Drosophila melanogaster: one gene and its partners. The protein of the gene in region 3 interacts with the protein of the main gene of each other region in a pairwise test. Each region holds a gene or a part of one and is shown on either strand. Other genes may lie near its edges.

Region 1 (5,140 bases), on a different chromosome or scaffold from region 3:
AAATCCGAGCACACTTTGTACTTTATATATCTGTGTATTTCGATTTGGTTTTTTGTTTTTCATCCGAGAACCACCAGCATCCCACTAATCGCTTATCCACAGCAACGAATGCAATAAATTACAAATCAATCTATCACTTTTTGTATCTCGCAGTGCAATATAAACAATTGCACTTATGTACAGATATGTATGTACAATCAATCACTCACACACCCGCACAACGCTTGACCCGCTGATTGTTTCTATTTACATATATGTATGTATATATGGGTAAGTGAGTATATAGATATGTATGTATGTACATATGGCACGATTGATAGCCGAGAGGCAAGCAAAATAAACCGAAAAACGCTCTCTGCACGTCCAAATAAACCGAAAGCTAGAACATAACTGACTGAAACTGCGATGCGACCGATTCAGAGCGACCAAAGGCAGAGCAGCAAACGGGCGGAAAACTCGGGCTCATCTGCGAGGAAAAAGGAAAATGCGCTCAGCAGATGTTACGCATTTCCCAATGCCGTACACAGCGAGAAAGCGGTCAGCAAACTCAGTTCATTGGCTACGAATAGAATACAGAAATATCTGTTGTATACTTAAGGGATTACATTTGTGTTCCCAATTCTTTTTCTTTTAAATTTTCATTTTCATTAGGAATCAGAATAGTAATAGTAAATCTAAAGATTATAATAAAAAAATGTATTAAACTTTGACTCTATTCAGCATTTGAAAAAGTGATGAAGCATACAATCTTAAAAATAAAAGTACATCTTATAAGAGTACCTTACAAATCTTATTTCATTTAAAATCGTAAATTAATCCAAATCACTTAATGTTTTTAAAAAACATTTTAAAATAAATATTGATGGAAATTTAGCTTTAAAATTTTTTTCAGTGCAGATGTATTATTGTTCCTCTCTTCGAATTTTTTGGGGTGGGTAATACGCCCATTGTACGCCTGTGCTTGTGAGTATGCCTCCCCCTATGGGGCCGAGCAGTACGGATGCGGGAGAGCTCCAGCTGAGAGCGTTAGTTCCCGATCACAGTGGGCACGATCACCATGTCACATGGCGATCATCTGCTGCGCACTCGCAGTTGCCAGGGATTTCGATGGATTTGCCACACAAGTCTTATTGGTAAGCTATTGTTTATGCTAGTGTTTTGGACTTACTCGTCTATGCTTTTGGACAGTGCCTCGGCTAGTTTGCGCAGGACCCTTCTGTCGATTTCGGCGGCGCCATTCTCCTCCAGGAAACTGGTCACGGTCTCAATTAAGGTGATTTCCTTCAAGGACGATGCACAGGTACCATTGCCGTCGCCGCAATAGTCCCGCAAAACCTGTTTAGACTGGTCCATGGGAGGTCCTCAAATAGTTAACTTTCGCACACAATAATTCTAACACTTGACAATTTCACAAAGGACGCTAACAATTACACTTTTTTTCTGTTTGGAAAATGAAGCGCGCTGGAACAGCTGTTTCTGGCGTCAGTTATCGAAATGCTGCCATGCGCACTGGCAGCACTGCCGTACAACGGGAAAAAGTTAACACAGCGGTATGGCAACGCTGTTCGTCGATTTACGTTACTGCAAAGTCGATTCTTATCGATGGTAAACAACATCGACGGTTTACGAAAATTAGCATTCGCCTGATAAGCAAGTAGAACACTACGGCCACCAGATATAACGCCATGCTATAAACGCTCTGTGGGCACGTTTTCGTCAGCCCCAGCCACAAGCAGGCCAACTTCAGTCGGGGGCAGTACACATACAGAAAATAGAGCAGCGCAACAGAGAAAAAGCTCCCCCCTCGAAAAACCTAACAATGTTTGCTACACTGAAAAACAAGATCAAGGAGGAAACTGGCGATGATGTGGTCCAATCAGCCAATCAACGTTATCCCGGCAACAACAACAACAATTACCGGCTACGTAGTCGCCGCGTTAGCATTAATTCCAACTCAGCTGATGATGTGGGCGGTGGCGGATTCTACAATGAGGTAAACTGAGCGAAAAAAAAACAGTCTATTTGTGTATACTTACACATTAAACAAAAACACGGATAAACAAACACCTTCACTCTTTTCGCAGTCGGAGCAATTGTGCGAGCTGCGAAGTCAGTGCAACGAGCTCACCACGAAGCTGTCCACCGTCACGCAGGGATTGCAGCAGCTGCAGGAGGAGAAGACGCGCGTGGACAAGACCAACGAGATTCTGCTAGAGAGTGTGCGTGTGGCCCAGACGCAGAAGGACATATACTGCGAGGAGCAGGAGAAGATTCAGAATCTACAGCAAATCGAGATTGACAAGCTGAAGAATCTGCTTAGCTTTCGGGAGCAGGAGTCGGTGGATCGCATGGGTCTCATGCGCCAGCAGACCCAGCAAATCGAGTCCTTGAGCGAGGAACTAGAACGTCTGCGTCCCATTGAATCCGTGGCCGAAGATTTACGCGACGAACTAGAGCAACTGCGACATTCTACACAGCAGGAGAAGAATCTGCTGACCACAACACTGGCGGCTGTACAGGAGGAGAACCGGCACCTCAAAAAGCGCATGAAAATCGTCGAGGAGTCGCGACTCGAGTCTCTGGGCAAACTGAACTCCGAGCAACAAGTGCAAGCCCTTATCCGGGAACATAAACTGCTGGAACAGCACTTAGAGGAGGCCCATCTGCAGTTGTCGGACATCAAAGGCTCGTGGAGTGGCCAGAATCTGGCGCTGGAAACCCAAGTTAGTCGTCTATCCAAGCAAGTGGCCGAAGAGACCACCGAAAAGCGAAAGGCCCTTAAATCCCGCGACGATGCCATTGAAAGCCGCAAGCAGGTATCATTCGAACTCGAAAAAGCCAAAGATGAAATAAAGCAGCGGGACGATAAGGTAGGTTAGATAGTAATACCTATGTGCCAATACTTATGCACTTTAATTGCAGGTCAAGCTGCTGGAGGAGGAAATCGATGAACTTAGTGTGGCCCTGAAAGAGTGCCGAGAGGAGAACGAGCAGCAAGTCCTCTTTGAGCGCAATAAATCTGTGAGTATGCCTCCCGATTCTGACGATTTCCATTGGGACTTGTAACACTAATTTAACCAACAATGCAGTACTAACTCTACCAATTAAGCTCCTGGTTTACTTGGAATTTTCCAACCACACCTATTATGTAGTTTTTGATTGTAAATGTTTTCCTTTTCGTATTAAACTGATTTAATCGTTGGCAAACTTTTTGGTAAACTTTTTCCTTCAATAATGCACGCATATATATGTTTACCCTCAATATCCAAAACTGATTGATGGAGATTTTGTAAACCAATAAACCGAATGTTCTCAGCAAAATTTGGAAACAGAGGTAAAAGATCTCAAGACTCGTCTCACGGCAGCGGATGACAGGTTCAGCGAGTACTCCTCGAATGCCGAGCAGGTGGCCCAAAAGCTACGGGTTCAGGTGACTGAAAAGCAGGAGCAGCTGGACGAAACCATAATGCAACTGGAAATCGAACGAGAGGAGAAAATGACTGCAATACTTCGCAATGCGGAAATCGCCCAGAGCGAAGACATTTTACGGCAACAGCTGCGCTTGGAGCGCAGCGAAGCCAGCGACCTCCAGGAGAGGAATAATCAGCTGGTGAGGGATATATCCGAGGCACGGCAAACGTTGCAGCAGGTCAGCAGCACAGCACAGGATAATGCCGACAAGTTGACCGAATTCGAGCGAGTTCAGTTGGAAATAATCGAAAAGAATAAGGTTAGATTTGTTATGAATGGTTTTGGCAAATTTTATTAACCAATTTTCTGTCTAGACAATAAAAACACTGAATCAGCGTTTGATTGACTTGAAAAAAACAGTGCAGAAGGAACTACGCAGTGCGCAGATATCCACGGACAGTGAATCTCATCCGACAACGACACCAGGTCACAGAATCTCAAGTTCATCGCTGGAGGCATTTTCAACTGGCGACAAGGGAAATTGCGTCATAATGGACGAAGTTAATTTTCAATATTTGAAACACGTAATTGTTAAGTTCTTGACCAGTCGCGAGGTATGCAATTTCATCTGTTTCCTGTATAATTAATTCGATTTCATGTTTGTTTCTTTAGGTGGAAGCTCGCCATCTTGTTCGTGCCGTATCCACATTACTTCAATTGACAACCGAGGAGGAAAAGCTGCTACACGACACATTGAATTGGAAGATGAGTTGGTTTGGCATGAAACCAACTTAAGTAGCCACAGCAATACATCACATTTGTACTCTAATCTATAGTCAATTCATAACGTTCGTGTAATATGTACATACCAATTGCATACGCAGCACTGTGTTATTTTGTTTACCAACAACATTCCATTTTGTTGAATAGTATTTATTTCTACCGTTGTGATTTTTATAATAAACTAACATTTATGTAAAATGCCGTTTTTCATTTAGTAAATCTTAGTCATCCGTGCATTTGTCTTGAAGGAAAGAAAGACTATTCAACTATTTGAAAGACTATTCAAATCCATATCATTTTTTATAAAATCGAATTTACCATCGTTAGGTAGAATGTGTGTATAATACATACATTTTACTTTACACGATATTAACTTCCACTCTACATTACCTGGTGGCGCCATCTAGGAGTCCCGGTTAGACAATTAAAAAACCATTAATAAAAGTCAATATTTAATTTTTAAAAATACTGCATTTTACAATTAAAAATATTGTTTGTTACATTTTACGTTCACTAAAATTAACTATAAATATGAATTTACTTCAATTTGTTTATTGCAAAGACCTACGTCGTATGAATAACTAACTATTCATTTGTATTATCTATGAATAAATGATATAGGAGGATTAAAGATTAAACAAAAAACACACGTATTAATGAGGCACTTTTTGGTGTTTATAACAATTAAGAAGACAGTTCAATTAGTCGCATATTCGTCAATATTGCTTCATAATATAGTTATCTATTTACACTTTTTAAACTAAATATTAAACTAAGTCTAGGCGTTAAATGCATTTAAATCAAAATTGCGTACTTAGGTTTTAACCAATTGTGAATTTTCTGTCAGGTTTCGGAAAATTTGGCACACGGAATTTCAAAAGACTGTCTCACCTATCGAATATTACATCATTTATACCTAAGGTAATTGCTAATAATCTGCAGTCTA
Region 2 (5,812 bases), on a different chromosome or scaffold from region 3:
TGCTGCTGCGCCTGCTGCTGTATATCCGGCACGGAGCTGAGACTCCGCGCCCGCTGGCGATCGATGGACGTGGAGTTTTGGTTGTGGTACACCTGCAGGCCGGGCAAAGTGCGCAGCAGATTGAAACCCTGACCGGTGGTATCATTGCCGCCACCGCCGCCGCCGTTACCGCCACGATTCTGGCCGGGATTCGAGTGCTGGTGTTGCTGCTGCTGCAGCGCAGAATCGGCGGCTCCTGTTGAACTGCTCGAGAATGTCCTGGAGCGTGGGCTCTGTTGGCCACTGGTCGCCGGAGTGCTCGCCTTTTGACCCATAGATGCTGATGGAATTATTAACTGGGCGACGAACCTTTGACCACCTGCGCCTGCTCCAGCTGCTGCTCCTGCTGCTGCTCCAGCAGCGCCTTCTGCAATTCTCCGCCTCCGCGAGGCGTCCTCTTTGTCTGCTCCTTCGCGTGCGAAAAACGGAGCAGACAACAATAGCAAACAATGCGATGTGCGATTTGCGATGTGCGGATGATAAATGCGGTCGCTTTTTTGTCGCTCGCTTGATAAGTGTATGTGTGTGCGTGCTTGTGTGTGTGTGTGCGAGTGTGTGTGTGTGTGAGTGTGTTTTGGTGTTTGTGCCAAAAGTGATGGTGCTCGTGGAGTGGATGGGGGGCGGGGGTGGGAGTAGGTGGCAAGGACGGGGGGCGGGCGTCAATCGGTGCGTAGTTGAGTCGCGATTGTTATTGTTGCTGCCCCGTTTTCTTGTCCTCCGCCTGCTGATTCCGGGGACTCAGATGTTTCAGATGTTTCAGATGCTCAGGTGTTCAGTTGCTCTGGTTCTCCGGTATATTTGGAACTCGAGTCGGCTCTGCGGTCGCCGGATGATGACTCCCGATGACAACCGATGACTGATGGATGATGGGCACTAGCTGCTCCTGCGCCTGCTACTACTTGCTACTTGCCACTTGCAACGGGCTCCTGCTGCCTAATCCTATGGAATCGGATCCAAACGCTACGCGGTGCACTACTGCTGCTCTCGCCGACTAAAAAATAGGTGTGACGCGACACGACGCTGCTGGCCAATCTGCCTTGATTACACTCTCAATTTAAATGACCGTTTTCCATATTTTTTTTTAATTTTTTTTTATACATTACATTAAAAGAGTTTCTCGATATCAACAGAGGCGTTAGTCCAATTGGGAGGGCCAATCGATTGTCGACGGGTATTCTAATAAGAATGGTGTCGGTATTGTGTAGGCACCTAGCTGAGACATGAACCTAGATGGGGTATTCTTCATTTGCGCATTTATAAAATATAAATTTTAAAGTATCATTTTAATATTTTTGTTTCACCTACATGAGGTATTCGCTTTTTTCTTTCTCAAATTTATCAAATTCTTTTGCATCGATTCAATGTTAAGTTAGTATGTACTGAAACTGCACAAAACTAAAAAATTATAATTTCTAATATTAGCTAGATTTTGTGTGTTACTTAGTTCACAATGGTTTGATTGGAAATCAATTAAAAAACAAATAGTAGAATATATATGTTTAAAAAATGCATTTTCATTGCACCGTGTGCTCACTGTAGTGCACGACCGGTGGTCACACAGCTGGCCTATCGATAGCCGACTATAGTTATCGGGGCTGAGTTGAGTTGTTGAAAACACAATTCCAATTGGCCATTAAATAGTCAAATCCGCAGCTTCCCAAAACATCAGGGACTTGCATGTGCCTCCCAAGGAGCAGGAGATTGCAGCAGGAGCAGCCGGAGCAGCAGGAGTGCGATCTGGACTAGGACTCAATTCGCCCAAGCTACTGCGGCGACGTCAACAGCAATATTGATACAGTGGCACTTGGGGCTGCGTTTCCACATCCGCACCGAAGATGAGCTGGTTCGAAAAGGCCAAAACGGTGCTAATTGAGGCGCTGGACATCCAGGATGACGACAGCAAGGCGGCGGAGAAGGACTCGCCGATGGCAGGAGCTGCGAGCGATGGTGGCGCATCGCCTGGGAACAATGCAACGGCGGAGACACCTGGATCCGCTGCCACGCCCGCTTCGGATACGCCAACATTCTTTGACAATCCGCATGCCAACGAAATGGTGACCATTCCACCCACACCCACATCGGTGCCAGGAAGTGCCGCCTACGGCAAACGGCAGTCAGCCACCTCGGATTCGGTGGATCTGCTGTCCTCCCCAACCTCGCCCATCTCGCCCTGCGGCGGCGATGTCCCCTCGGTGGCCAAGCGCTTGTCTGAATCCTCGCTAGAACTCATAACGGCCACCACGGCCAGCGAAGTGGAGATGTCACCGGACACGGAGCCCTCCTTGCCCGACAGCATTGTGATAATCGCCAGCAATGACACATCCGACAATGCCGAGGGTGATGGCGAGGATGATGACGATGAGGGCACCCAGCTGAAGCGCCACATGGAGGACCACTTGAATGGTATTGGGCCTTGTCGCAATTCTCTTTTTTGTATCGTTTGCTAACTGTGTAAACCTTTCCCTCTGCAGACTCCACCAAAACCATGAAGGCTCTGGTCCTGAGCGACATCCAGGTAGCCGGTAATGCTGACTCCGATTCCACGCAGAGCTTCGAGGACATCCAGCTGCAGATGAGCCACAAGGGCAAGTCGCCCGCTCCGGCCAAGACGGGAACGGTGGACCAGAGCTACTCGTCCACCTCATCGGACATCGAGATCATCTCAAATCCGAATGGCGACTCCAGCACCAACAGCACCACCACGCGCACCAGCCCGCAAAAATTCAAGGAGCTCGCGGGCGGCAAGGTGTGCCTAAAGGCCAAGGGACATCATCGCGAGCCCTCGGAGATCTCGCTGCTGTCGGAGGACTCACAGTCGGAGCTGGATAAGCTGGTGCAACGCATCAGCGAGCTGAACCAGGTGATTGAGGCGCGGGAGCAGCGACTATTGCAATCAGAGCGCCAGAATGCCGAGCTCCTCGAGCGCAACCAGGAGTTGCGCGCTCGCGTCGAAGCGGCAGCCAATAGCGCCAACAGTCCGGATGCGGCGGATGCAGTGCAGCGTCTGTCGGCGCTGGAGAAGAAGTTCCAGGCCAGCATACGCGAGCGCGATGCCCTGCGCATCCAAATGAAGAGTCTGCGCGATGAGCTGCAGAACAAGATACCCAGGGATGAGCTAGCCGAATGCAACGAAATGATCGCCGCCCTGCAGTCCGAGGGTGAGAAGCTGTCCAAGGAGATCCTGCAGCAGTCGACGATCATCAAGAAACTGCGCGCCAAGGAGAAGACCTCGGACACGTTGCTGAAGAAGAACGGCGAGCAGATCTCGTTGCTGTCCAGCGAATCGGAGCGCCTCAAGAGATCCCTAGCCGCCAAGGAGGAAATGGAGCGCACGCAAATCGAGGCAGTTTGCCGGATGACGGCGGAGAAGAAGCGCGTGGATGAGGAGAACGCCGAGAGCCGCAGTCGCATCGAAGATCTTCAGTCCAGACTAGCTGCCCTGCAAGCCAGTTTCGACGGCCTAAAGGGAGATCTGCAGAAGCGCACGCGCCTGGAGCAGGACAGTCTGCGTGCCGAGCATCAGGAGTACGTGCAGCAGGTCTCCGATCTGCGCGAGAAACTGCGCCTGGCCGAGCACAGCCTGGCCAGAAGGGAGCAGCAAATGCGCGAGGAGAACCGCCAGCTAATGCGTCGCCTGGAAGCCGCCGAGCTGCGGGCGGAGAGCTCTACTCAAGAGCTGGGTGCCACTACCACGCCGTTGATACGACAGATCGAGTCGCTGCAGCGTACACTGGACCAGCGATCCGCTGCCTGGAACCGCGAGGAGCAGCAGCTCCTCCAGAAACTGGACGACTCACAGGTGCAACTGCGCTCGCTGCAGCAATTGGAATCCGTACAGGGCGAGAAGCAGGAGCTGCTGCGCACCCGTTGCGGCCTGCTGGAGGAGAAGCTGTCCAGTGCGCTAATGGAGGCGGAGGCCGCCAAGATGGCACTGCGTCAGCACGATCTGGAAGCGGCCAACAAGGAAAACGATCACAAAAAGTGCGTGCCATTAAACCTTGTATTGATTTACCCATTTTTAATATCTACCCATGCAAATATATTTCTAAACTAACAGACAATTGAGCCTGCTGCAGGAGGAGATTCAGCAGCAGCAGGAGAGGATTGCGAGTCTGGAGCAATTGTGCCAGCGGCAAAAGGAAGAGGAGGAGCAGCGGAAACAGCCCACGCTGCTGACAGTGAAGGCGGTCAAGGCTAGCAGTGAGTTGCAGCCACAGCTGCAAATGCAGCTGCCGAAATCCCAGGCACCACTGCGCTCCTCACCGCCCCTCAGTTTGGTGGACGACAGTGGTTCCAACGAGGAGGCCCTGGGCGGCATGATCGACTGGCAGGCGGTAATGTCGCCTAATCTTTCAAATGAAGAACCTTCTTAAGTTTCTAATTCACTTTCAAATTCAGGACGACCTCGATTGCGCTTCCAACTCGGGTCGCCAGCAATCGGGCATCATCCAAGGTGTACACCTGAGCTTTCTGGCGGCCAACACAACGACCTTTGAGCACCTGCAGGCTCTGCTCAAGCAGCGCGACGGGGAGCTGACCCACCTGCAGTGGGAAGTGTCGCGCCTGCAAGCAGAGCGAAGCGTTCTCGACGCCGAGATATCCAATCTGACCATCGAGCTGGAAACGGTAGGAGAATAGCCCATCTTGACAAGAGATAATAATGAATACTATTCGTCCAATGGTAGATGAAGGAGAAGCAGCAGATGTACGAGGTAATGGAGAAGGGATACGAGGATCTGCAGCATCGCTACGACGCCCTGCTCCAGATGTACGGCGAGAAGGTGGAGCGCACCGAGGAACTGGAGCTGGATCTGACCGAGCTGAAGGCGGCCTACAAGCTGCAGATCGACGAGCTGCTGGCCGCCCCGCCACCCAATCTGCAACGGCCGTCGAAGCAAACATGATTGCCGGAGCGCAGGATCGTCTCCCTGCCCGAGTTGCCATGTTTGCGACGGACGTGGCCACCGTAACGTTGCCCATCTCCGTCTCCCATTCCCAGTTGTAATGTATTATGCTTTCAATACTAATCGATACGGATCCGGTATGGGGAACCCACTTCCAAGTCCCAATCCACCCAAAACAACAAAAAAAAAACCAACACATGTACATGCGAGTATATATATTACCTATGATTTGCGTATGCTGACACCTTCTAGTTATATTATAAATTGATCGATTGTGATAATTTAATTTATATTTATATATACATAAAGTTATCGTCTATGACTATGTACAAAACTGTTTCTGTTCCGAGCAGTTTGCCAGGCGGTTGTGAAGCAGCCAGCAGAAGCAACAGCCTCTTCCAAATACATCAAATATCATTTAATACAAAGTAATCACAGGGACTCCCGCAGGATGTCCTTAATGGCCTGGGTTAGCGGAAATACAGGTTTCTCGCTGTATTTCAAGTTTGGCATAATGCTGCATGAGTTCTTGAGATCATCGGTGTTCAGCGAGAAGACCATGACGCCACCCAGATTGAGGGATTTCACATAGTTCGCCTTGCAGGCGATACTCGTTTGATTTTCGTACGATATCCACTCCTGCAGAGCGCTCAAATATGGCGAACAGCTCTCGGCATCGTAGGACAAGTTTGGCTTGAAGAACTTGGTGACACACTCACAAGTTTCGGTCAGTGTGGTGAAGCCCAGTTGGCCACATTTACCGTAACCGGAAGCAGGAGCTCCTATGCGATGATTTAAAGGATTAACCAACCTGTTTGGTGGGTGAGGAAGTATAATTAATGAGGGATTCATTCCATAATACATGCAGT
Region 3 (4,161 bases):
AATCTGTTCGTTGGTTGCTCACCGTGTTCCTCTCTCTTTACGAGATAAGATAAACTTTAAAAAACAGCTCGTTGTTTGATATAGTAGCTGTGATGCGAAGGAAAGTCCCACATTTAAGTGACCGCCACTAGGGACACACATTTGATTGCTTTTATTGAAAAAATAGGGAAAAACTCGACTATTTAGGACACCTGCTGGTTAGCCGATATCCACGATATAAACGACGAGACCTGCACGTAAACCGACGGTGAGTTGGCCTGACCACAAGGTAACTTGCCCCAGGACACGATGCCAATAAGGACATTGCCCTGGACCAGTGGTCCGCCCGAATCCGAGGTGCAAATGCTAACGCCGCCAGTTAGAGGACCAGTGCACAGATTGGTCGAGTGGACATCGCTGCCCTTGGTGCCCAGGGCGCTTTCGCAGGAGCTCAGCGAAATGATAGGCACATTGGTGGCCACCTGCAGGGTCGACGGATAGGAGGCGGTATTCGTGGTGCTAGTGCTGCCCCATCCGTACAGATTGGCGGTGCCAGTGGGCACCACTCCCGAGGATGGTAGCGTCACTGGGGCAACGGCGGCGCTCCAAACGAAGGCGGTGGGCGTGTAGATCATTCCGATGTCATAGGGCACAGTTCCGCCGGTGTACAAGTCATTGATCACGAAGTACGTGATGCTCCGCGTCTGCGTAGTGCTTGCAGTTCCGTCCACCGCGATGCTTCCGGCCACCAAGGTGCTGCCCAGCACCTGGTTACTATTGGTCAGGCAGTGGGCAGCGGTGACTAGCCAGTTGGCATTCAGAATGCTGGCGGCACAGTAATGGGTGCCACCGTACTGCATGGACACCGCATAGGGAGCACTATTCACCGCTGCCGGAGATCCACCCACGACACGCCCCTCGGGTGCGCCGATAGCCACTCCGGATATTCGGCATATGCCCAGTAGGAGAAGAAGCCCACTGGCCAACGACTTTGTTTGCTGTCCGTTCGCTAACATAGTTTTCGCGGAACTGTTTACATCGACCTTTATCGCGGCACGTTTAAATTAATTCGCCATTCCAAAATTTTGCCAGCGCCAGCAGATAAGGCTTTCAATTAAGGACCGTGTGTTCTTCAGATAACCACTTATTATAATTTGAGATTAAGCGACGCCCGAACAGTGACTCTTTGACAGAAGTACGTCAAGTTCCACCGATAGGATGGGCAAATACCTACGCTCGTTTATCTAAAAACAAGCAAATCACTTTAGAGAGCTTTATATTTGAAAATCGCGTTATCACCTGTTAGTATTTCTTACACTTAGTATTCACTTTTTAATATGAAATAAAAAGTTAAGCAATTACCTTGTACTTCATCAGTATTTAAACATTTTAAGCAGGTAAATTTTAGTTAAAATTATTTAATAACGGTAACGAATATCAATCGATTTTTTTTTAAATCATAAAACATCGATTTAGTACAAATATGCGTTTATCGATAGCGTGGCAGAGAAATTGCTTTTGATTGCCACTCTGGTCACACAGCAACTGACTCAGAAGTTAAAGAAGAAGAAGCAGAGACCGTAATTTTTCCACGACTCAACCTAGCGATTTACCAAGCCATTCGAGCCGCAATTGAGTCTTTAGCCAGACGGAAAGCATTTAGAGCGTGTGTAATAGAGTGCGGCAACTTGAAAGCGGTGCATCCCGAGAAATCGCAGTGCGAAAGGGCCCCGAAAACCGCTGGCCCAGCCCCATTATAAACAGTGAGGAGGGGTGGAGATTGGTGAGAGCGGAGCGGAGCGAGAAGAGAGTTCAGCAAACCCGTAATTAAGAAAAAGTAGACACGTACGTTGAGGAAGATGTCATCCGGAGATTTTGGCAATCCGCTGCGGAAGTTCAAGCTCGTCTTCCTCGGCGAGCAGAGTGTGGGCAAGACCTCGCTGATTACGCGCTTCATGTACGACAGCTTCGACAACACGTACCAGGCGACGATCGGAATTGATTTCCTATCGAAGACCATGTACCTGGAGGATCGCACTGTGCGCCTGCAGCTGTGGGATACGGCGGGACAGGAGCGATTCCGCTCGCTGATACCCTCGTACATACGCGACTCCACGGTGGCAGTGGTCGTTTACGATATCACCAACACCAACTCGTTCCACCAGACCTCCAAGTGGATCGATGACGTGCGCACGGAGCGGGGTAGCGACGTCATCATCATGCTGGTGGGCAACAAGACGGATCTCTCCGACAAGCGTCAGGTGTCCACCGAGGAGGGTGAGCGCAAGGCGAAGGAGCTTAACGTGATGTTCATCGAGACAAGCGCCAAGGCCGGCTACAATGTGAAGCAATTGTTCCGACGGGTGGCCGCGGCACTGCCCGGCATGGATTCCACGGAGAACAAGCCCTCCGAGGACATGCAGGAGGTTGTGCTAAAGGACTCACCCAACGAGACAAAGGATCCCGAGGGCGGCTGCGCCTGCTAGAACCGGTTGAGCCGACGATCCAACCATCCTCTCCCCCTTTTTCAACAGCAGGAGCAGATGCAGATGCAGGAGATCGGCCAGCAGCACTGGTGTACACAGGTGTCAGGTGTATGTACTGGCCGGATCTGCGGCGGATTCCTCAACATCTATACACACATACACACTTTACGTTTAAGTTTATTTATAAAGTAACAAATGATAGCAAAGGCAAATAGACTAAACAACAATTAACGAAATCGGCTAACTAATTACTGTTAATTGACGAGCTAATCCCGAGCGCAGGCGAGTGCGAATGCTAACTCATTGACACGAGATCAGGGATCAAGATCAGAGTAATATTTGCGAGTTAGCTACCAGACAAGAATATAGTGTAGTGCATTTCCGATACCCCCTAAACCCTCTAAACGAAAAAAAACCCAAGACCATGTACTTATGTCAGGCCAGGCGGTCCCAGGATCCTCCGACATTCCAGCTCTCGGCATCTCCAGCAGTCGTAGATACCACGCAGCCAGTCTGTGTTCAATGATTCCACCAGCCAGGCATTTTGTTTCCAATTTTAGCCCCCGTTCTGTTCTGTTTGCGGCTTTTGTTTCGCCAGTTTTGGTTAGGATTTCGGTTTTTTTTTTAGCACAGCGAACGCGACTGCTAACTGGAACTGTGGATGGCATAGGACTTGGCCACGTGCATCTTATGAATAAATATACACAAATATAAAATATGTATTTTTATGACTAAAACTGAAACAGATAAGCAGAGCACGAGCAGAGCAAACACTTAACAATATTATTAACGATTTTTGCTTCGATTAGCGAGAGAACTTTGTGCATTTTTTACGCGAAAAGCAAAAGCTTACAAAATTGATAATTGAATAAAAACATAAACTATTGATGCAATTTTTAATAAATCAAATTATGAAAATGAAAAGTATACAAGATACTAGCAATAAATTAATACAAAAAAATAAATTCAAAACATGACTCATACGTTGTGGGTGCACGCACACCTTTCCCAAAAAGTTTTCCGCCAAATGTGGGCCGACTTATCTTATCATTCCAAATCGTTCCTGAATGGACTACAGCGCACCTCTGTGTCGGCATGACTAGTCCTCAATTGCTGACAAATTCCACTGATTCGTCAAGAAACTGGAGTGAAATAGGCGGCTTAAGGTGGATCAGAAAAATACGATTTTTAGTTGGGGAAGCTTAATAATCGTATATTGAATCGAATTGCTTTTATTTGATTGCATGCTCTTCTCTTCTATTTGAAACACCTTAAAATGTGTTTGGATTTGGTTTTTTATTTGTGAATTCCGGTTTCGTAAGCGTAAATACATAGAAAGAACAAAAATGCGTACTTGCTTTGCTATGCAAATGTTAAGTATACTTTTGATAAATAGTTCGAAATAGAGTCTTAGAAGCTGTCCTCGTTGGCGATGAATTCGTCGCGAATCTTTTGCAGCTTTGTGATGAGTTCCGCCACGGAGACCTCGCCGTGCACCTTGTTGTCCCGAGTGCGCACGTTAACGGTATTCGAGGAGCGCTCCTTGTCGCCCACCACCAGAATGAAGTTGAACTGGGCCAACTGAGCATTGCGTATCTTCTTGTTCATCGTGTCGCCGGCATCGCAATCCGCCTCGCTCATGAATCCAGCATCGTGCAACTGATCCCGCACTGACTGGGCGTACTGATCATAGGCA
Region 4 (4,870 bases), on a different chromosome or scaffold from region 3:
TTTACACTAAAATGAAGTCTATATATATATAAAAATATATAAATAAAAACTATTTAATTACACCAAACTGTGTGTTAGTTCTTCTCGAGCTTCAGGTCGCCGAGCTTCTCGTTCAGCGCACTTTCTTCATCCTCCTCAGCTTTGAACATCTCCTGAAATTCGGAAAATCAGATTGCTTGAGTTTTCTGGGGAGTTCTAGGTGTATTTCTGAATGAGTCACTTACCGGATCGTATATGACCTTGATGACTAGGGAGCAGCTGGGACAGGTGGCCACCTCCTCGCCCTCGATTAGCTCCTCCTAAAGTGGAAATTTACCAAGTGATATGGGGAGTCCAGAAAAAAAAAGGTTGCGTATACGACTCGTTACCTTGGAGATCTGAAATCGATCGCCGCATGGACAGGGATAGTAGTACATCTCCTCCTCCTCGTCGTACTCGAAGTCCTCGATCTCCACCTCGTCGTGATAGATGCTCATGACGTACCTTCAGCTTAATTCAGCGCCTAAAGGTCATATTATATTTGAGTTTTTTTTGCGATAACTTAGATTAATCCACGCCAAACAAATGGGCACGTTGTGTTGCGGGGCTGCCAACTCGTTGCAGCGAACAGCTGATCCAGTAAACAATTGCAAATGTTTTATTTGGACATTTTTGGACCGCCGGCTGCAGTTGTGAAATAAGTCTCGTATAAAATAGTATATTTTAGCTAACTTTTGCCCAAAAAAGACAAACTGCAAAACAAACCCATGTTCCAGTTGTTGAATAAGGAGTAAAATAAGACTAAATGGCTAGCAAAAAGTACAGTGACGTGAATCTTTACGATCTTCTGGGCATTTCTCTCGAGTCTGATCAAAATGAGATACGCAAGGCGTACCGCAAGAAGGCCCTCGAGTGCCATCCCGACAAGAATCCGGACAATCCGAAGGCAGTCGAGCGCTTCCATGAGTTGTCCAAGGCTCTGGAGATCCTCACGGATGAATCCGCGCGCGCAGCTTATGACAAAGTGCTGAAGGCCAAGAAGGCGGCGGAGCTGAGGAGTCGCCAACTGGACGGGAAGCGGCAGAAGCTGAAGCTGGAACTGGAGGAACGTGAACGGGCGGCACTGCACAAACTGGCGAAGAGCCAACCCTACAGCACGGTGGCCAAAAGCGACGAGGAGGTGCTGCATGAGCAGATCGAGCGGTTGCGACGCGAGGGCTCCCGTCTGCTGGAGGAGGAGCAGCGAGCCATGCAGGAGCAGTTCCGGCGGAATCACGCGGAGCAACAGAAACTGCAGCAACAGCCGGTCCAGTTTGATTCCGCCCAGCATCGCATCAAGATGAAGTGGAAGGCCGAACCTGGCCAGGATTACACACAGCAAGAGCTGCTCAAGTATCTGAAGAAGTACGGCGACGTGGTGGCCCTGGTGGTCAACAGCAAGCGACGCGGACGCGCCATGGTGGAGCTGGCCACGCGCGAAGCCTGCGACATGGTCTTGGCCTACGAAAAAGGCGATCCCGCCAAGCCGCTGCACTTCGAGTGGGTAACGCCGCCGGCGGCAGACAAGCAGACAACCAAATCGGCCACCACTGGGTGCAGTGCGTCATCCACCGACTACGAGGACCTGGTCATGCGAAAGCTGCGCCAAGCTGAGGAACGTAAGAGACTCATTGAGCAGATGATGAAGGACGAGGAGGGCGAATGAAATAAGATTTAGTTAGGCTCAACATTTAATTTACTTTAATTGGACTAATATTAATGTTTGAAAATATCTCAATTTAGCAACTATGCAGCTGATTTATAATACATTTACATTTAAAATAGTTTTTAATTTATGTAAATTTGGTTATTAATTATTTTTTGAAAAACCGCAAAAATAAAAAAAAGTTTAAATCAGAATGATGGCAATTTTTAGTGCCTGAGCAAACATGACAAGTTGGCAGGCCCGCGTGCCAGCTGCTGAAATTTGTTAATTAAAAGAAATGCAAAAATGACACGGGAGATAAATAAATTGAACTACTAAGCGAACTGAAAGTAAATGAACTAATTCCCTTTCAAGGCGAAATGGAGAAGCGACAGAGGGAGCTGGAGGCGCTGGTGTCCACCCAAAAGGAGCAACTGGGGCGCTATGAAAAGCGTCTAAAAGGTGAGACATAGATGAATTCGCAATGCAAATGGATTAATGAGCCCAATTTGTAGACGTGGTCACTGCCTACAAGGGTCTGCTTAAGGAGAAGGAGGCATTGGAGACGAGTCTGGCGGCGCATGCGGAGGCCACGGCGGTGGGCGAGTCCGGATCGCCGGCCAGGGAGTTGGAGTCCAAAAAAACCAGCACCGACTCTGCGGATGGAGCAACCGAGGGCGCTGCACCGGGTCCGCCTGCTCCCCCGGCCGAGGGTCAACTGCAGACCCAAATTATCACCCTGATGAACTCGCTGGCCACTCTTTCCGCTGAGAAATCCCGCATGGAGGCCTCCTTTCAGGCGGATAAAAAGCAACTGCGCAGCCAAATCGCCCAAAAGGAGCAGACCATTCAGGAGCTTAATACCCGGGCCAAGGAGCAGGCTGCTCGGGCCAAAAGCGACGTGGACGAGATCAAGGCCAAGTGGATCGTGGAGCGACAGGAGCGCGAGAAAGAGACCAACAACCAAATGCTCATGATCCGCGAACTGCAGAAACTCTATGCGGACGAGCGGCATCTAAAGGACAACATTGAGATGCAGTTAAACAACTTCAAGACCCAGTTCGCCAGCAACGAGGCAGAGAATAGCCGGCTACGGGAATTGCAATCCCAGCTAAAGGAGGCTCGCTCCCAGCTGAAACAGTTCCAGGCCAAGACCGAGCACTCTGCAGCAGCGTCAGCGAGTGCGGACAGCGCCGCTCTCCTTCAGCAAGTGCGCCTTGAGATGCAGCAACTGAAGGAGCAGCATGCAGTGGCCATTCGTCAGGAACAGCGTCGCGTGCTGCGTGCCGAGGAACAGAGTCGCAGGCAGGCGGCGCTGCACGAGGATCGCGTGGCCAGTCTAGAGGCACGCCTGGCGGAGCTCAGCACCACTGTCGGCAGCTACGACCGCCTGCGTCAGCAAGATCAGGACAGCATCCATGATTTGAAGCAGCAGCTGCAGGATCTAGAGCAGGCACATGTGCGTCCAACATCCAATTCAAGGGCGCTAAACGAAGATGTGGACGTAGCCACGCTGGTTGACGAGATGGTGCGCTTGAAGAAACTGCTTACCACAGCCAATGCCCGTTCTGCCAATCCACTGGATCTCGGGGAGATCCTATCATTTAGCGGCCAAACAGCTACCCGAGTCGAGAGTCACGCCCACTGCGAGCAACAGCTTCAGGGTGTGCAGCAAATGCTCGAGGCATCCAAGCAGCAGCGACAGCTACTCGAACAGAAGGTGCAGCTGCAGCACTCGCACATCCAAACGCTGCAGGAGAAGGTGCAGGTGCTCAATCGCAACATCGACGAGGCGGAAGTCGAACTAAAGCAGCAGGGCGAAAAGCTGCGCCTGGCATTGAAGAACGAACGAACCAAGTGGCAGGAAGCCAAGGCTGAACTGGAGAACGAGACGCGCTGCAAACTGAACGAGCTGGAACAGCTACTGCAGAAGCAGCGCCAGAGGTCACTGCAGCTGCTGGATGAGAAGGAGCAGGAGATTAAGACACTGCAGACCTCCTTCGAGGTCTTTCACTCGGCCAGCGGTGTGGGCAGCACACTGGCCACACCCACACTTGAAGCAGCTGCCGATTCCTTTCACTATTCCTCCGACACCGACAGCGTGGAGGGGGAGCAGCGGGAAAGAAAGCTAAAGGTGCGCTCCAAGAAAATGTCGATGGGCGAGAACTGCCACATGCTGCACTATGCCAACGAGTTGGCGCGCAAGGACATCGAAATCACGACACTGCGGAAAGCCAAATACGCCGCCGAGTCGACGCTGCGAAAGGCGATCCAGGACAAGGTGACATCTCAGCAGGAAATGCACGAGAAGATCGAGTGCCTCAAGGAGCAGGTGGACAGGTGCGTCGTTGTCGTTGTTATCGTTGTTGTCTTAGAAAGTCATGCCACGATCTCTACTCCCATTCTAGACTCGAACGTTGCAAGACGCGCGAGGGTGCCAATCTGGAGTACCTGAAGAACGTTATTATCAGCTACATTGTTACCCGGGACGCGGACGGCAAGCGTCACATGCTGAACGCCATCTCGGCGGTGCTCCAGTTCACCGCCGCAGAGATGCAGGCGATCAATGCATCATTCCAGAAGAAATAACATTCGTACTTTTGTTCAACAATCATGTGCAACATATTTAAAACCCTACAAACAGATCCTAAATAGATAACTAACTAAATCCGACGACTGGGTATTTGTCTAGGTGGGCAGCTAGCACGCCGGGAAACATGGCCAGGAACTTAAAGCGAGTGCCCATCTGGGCTGGATCCGTGAGCATCTCGTAGCCGGAGCGAATGATCTCCTGGTTTTCGGGCAGCGCATGTGCCAACAGTTGCTCCAGTCGAGCCTCACCCTGCATTCGCTGCAGGAACAGTCCCTGCTCCACGGGACCGCAGCAGTGGACATTTCCGCGTGTCTCGGCAATGTGCCGCACTAGCTTGAAGTCCACATCGGCCGTGAGATCAGCACTGCCCGGCTCCACCAGCGGATCGTGCAGCTTGTGCTGCTTGAAGGCCCGGAAAGTGTCGGTTTTCTCGCCAAAATGGCCATAATCCATGATTAGAGCGATGCCGCCATCCCGTTCGATGCGCTCGGCGAGCAGTCCCACCTGTCGTTCCGTCTCCAGGGAGTGCTCCAAACAGGATCGTGTCTCGCCGGGCAGCGGTCGATAAAGACTCGAAACGGGTGTTTGGCTACGTGAGAGCACATATCGGAAGC

Evidence for each region.
Region 1: the proteins of Rab6 (region 3) and Golgin97 interact in a two-hybrid assay, tested with the Drosophila melanogaster proteins (2 studies listed by BioGRID).
Region 2: the proteins of Rab6 (region 3) and Tmf interact in a two-hybrid assay, tested with the Drosophila melanogaster proteins (2 studies listed by BioGRID).
Region 4: the proteins of Rab6 (region 3) and GCC88 interact in a two-hybrid assay, tested with the Drosophila melanogaster proteins (2 studies listed by BioGRID).

What each region holds. Positions count from the first base shown.
Region 1 is NT_033778.4:13,449,006-13,454,145, forward strand, and holds Golgin97 (golgin 97), read left to right. Parts: upstream 1-1,580; 5' UTR 1,581-1,819; coding exon 1,820-1,993; intron 1,994-2,084; coding exon 2,085-2,870; intron 2,871-2,922; coding exon 2,923-3,021; intron 3,022-3,316; coding exon 3,317-3,730; intron 3,731-3,785; coding exon 3,786-4,025; intron 4,026-4,083; coding exon 4,084-4,206; 3' UTR 4,207-4,388; downstream 4,389-5,140. Other genes in the region: cnn (centrosomin), read right to left, coding at 1,169-1,353.
Region 2 is NC_004354.4:6,842,733-6,848,544, forward strand, and holds Tmf (TATA element modulatory factor), read left to right. Parts: upstream 1-1,608; 5' UTR 1,609-1,874; coding exon 1,875-2,442; intron 2,443-2,510; coding exon 2,511-4,020; intron 4,021-4,096; coding exon 4,097-4,373; intron 4,374-4,437; coding exon 4,438-4,665; intron 4,666-4,724; coding exon 4,725-4,943; 3' UTR 4,944-5,115; downstream 5,116-5,812. Other genes in the region: CG14435 (uncharacterized protein), read right to left, coding at 1-314; Cht11 (chitinase 11), read right to left, coding at 5,376-5,754.
Region 3 is NT_033779.5:12,106,477-12,110,637, reverse strand, and holds Rab6 (Rab6), read left to right. Parts: upstream 1-1,521; 5' UTR 1,522-1,838; coding exon 1,839-2,465; 3' UTR 2,466-3,417; downstream 3,418-4,161. Other genes in the region: Phae1 (phaedra 1), read right to left, coding at 183-995; ThrRS (Threonyl-tRNA synthetase), read right to left, coding at 3,876-4,161. UniProt on the Drosophila melanogaster protein: Protein transport. Regulator of membrane traffic from the Golgi apparatus towards the endoplasmic reticulum (ER). Mediates membrane trafficking during egg chamber growth and organization, possibly upstream of exocyst component Sec5.
Region 4 is NT_033777.3:11,227,623-11,232,492, reverse strand, and holds GCC88 (GRIP and coiled-coil domain containing 88 kDa), read left to right. Parts: upstream 1-1,892; 5' UTR 1,893-2,043; coding exon 2,044-2,125; intron 2,126-2,178; coding exon 2,179-4,003; intron 4,004-4,071; coding exon 4,072-4,252; 3' UTR 4,253-4,322; downstream 4,323-4,870. Other genes in the region: Dph3 (diphthamide biosynthesis 3), read right to left, coding at 75-152, 225-299, 369-476; CG17187 (uncharacterized protein), read left to right, coding at 785-1,684; CG17726 (uncharacterized protein), read right to left, coding at 4,323-4,870.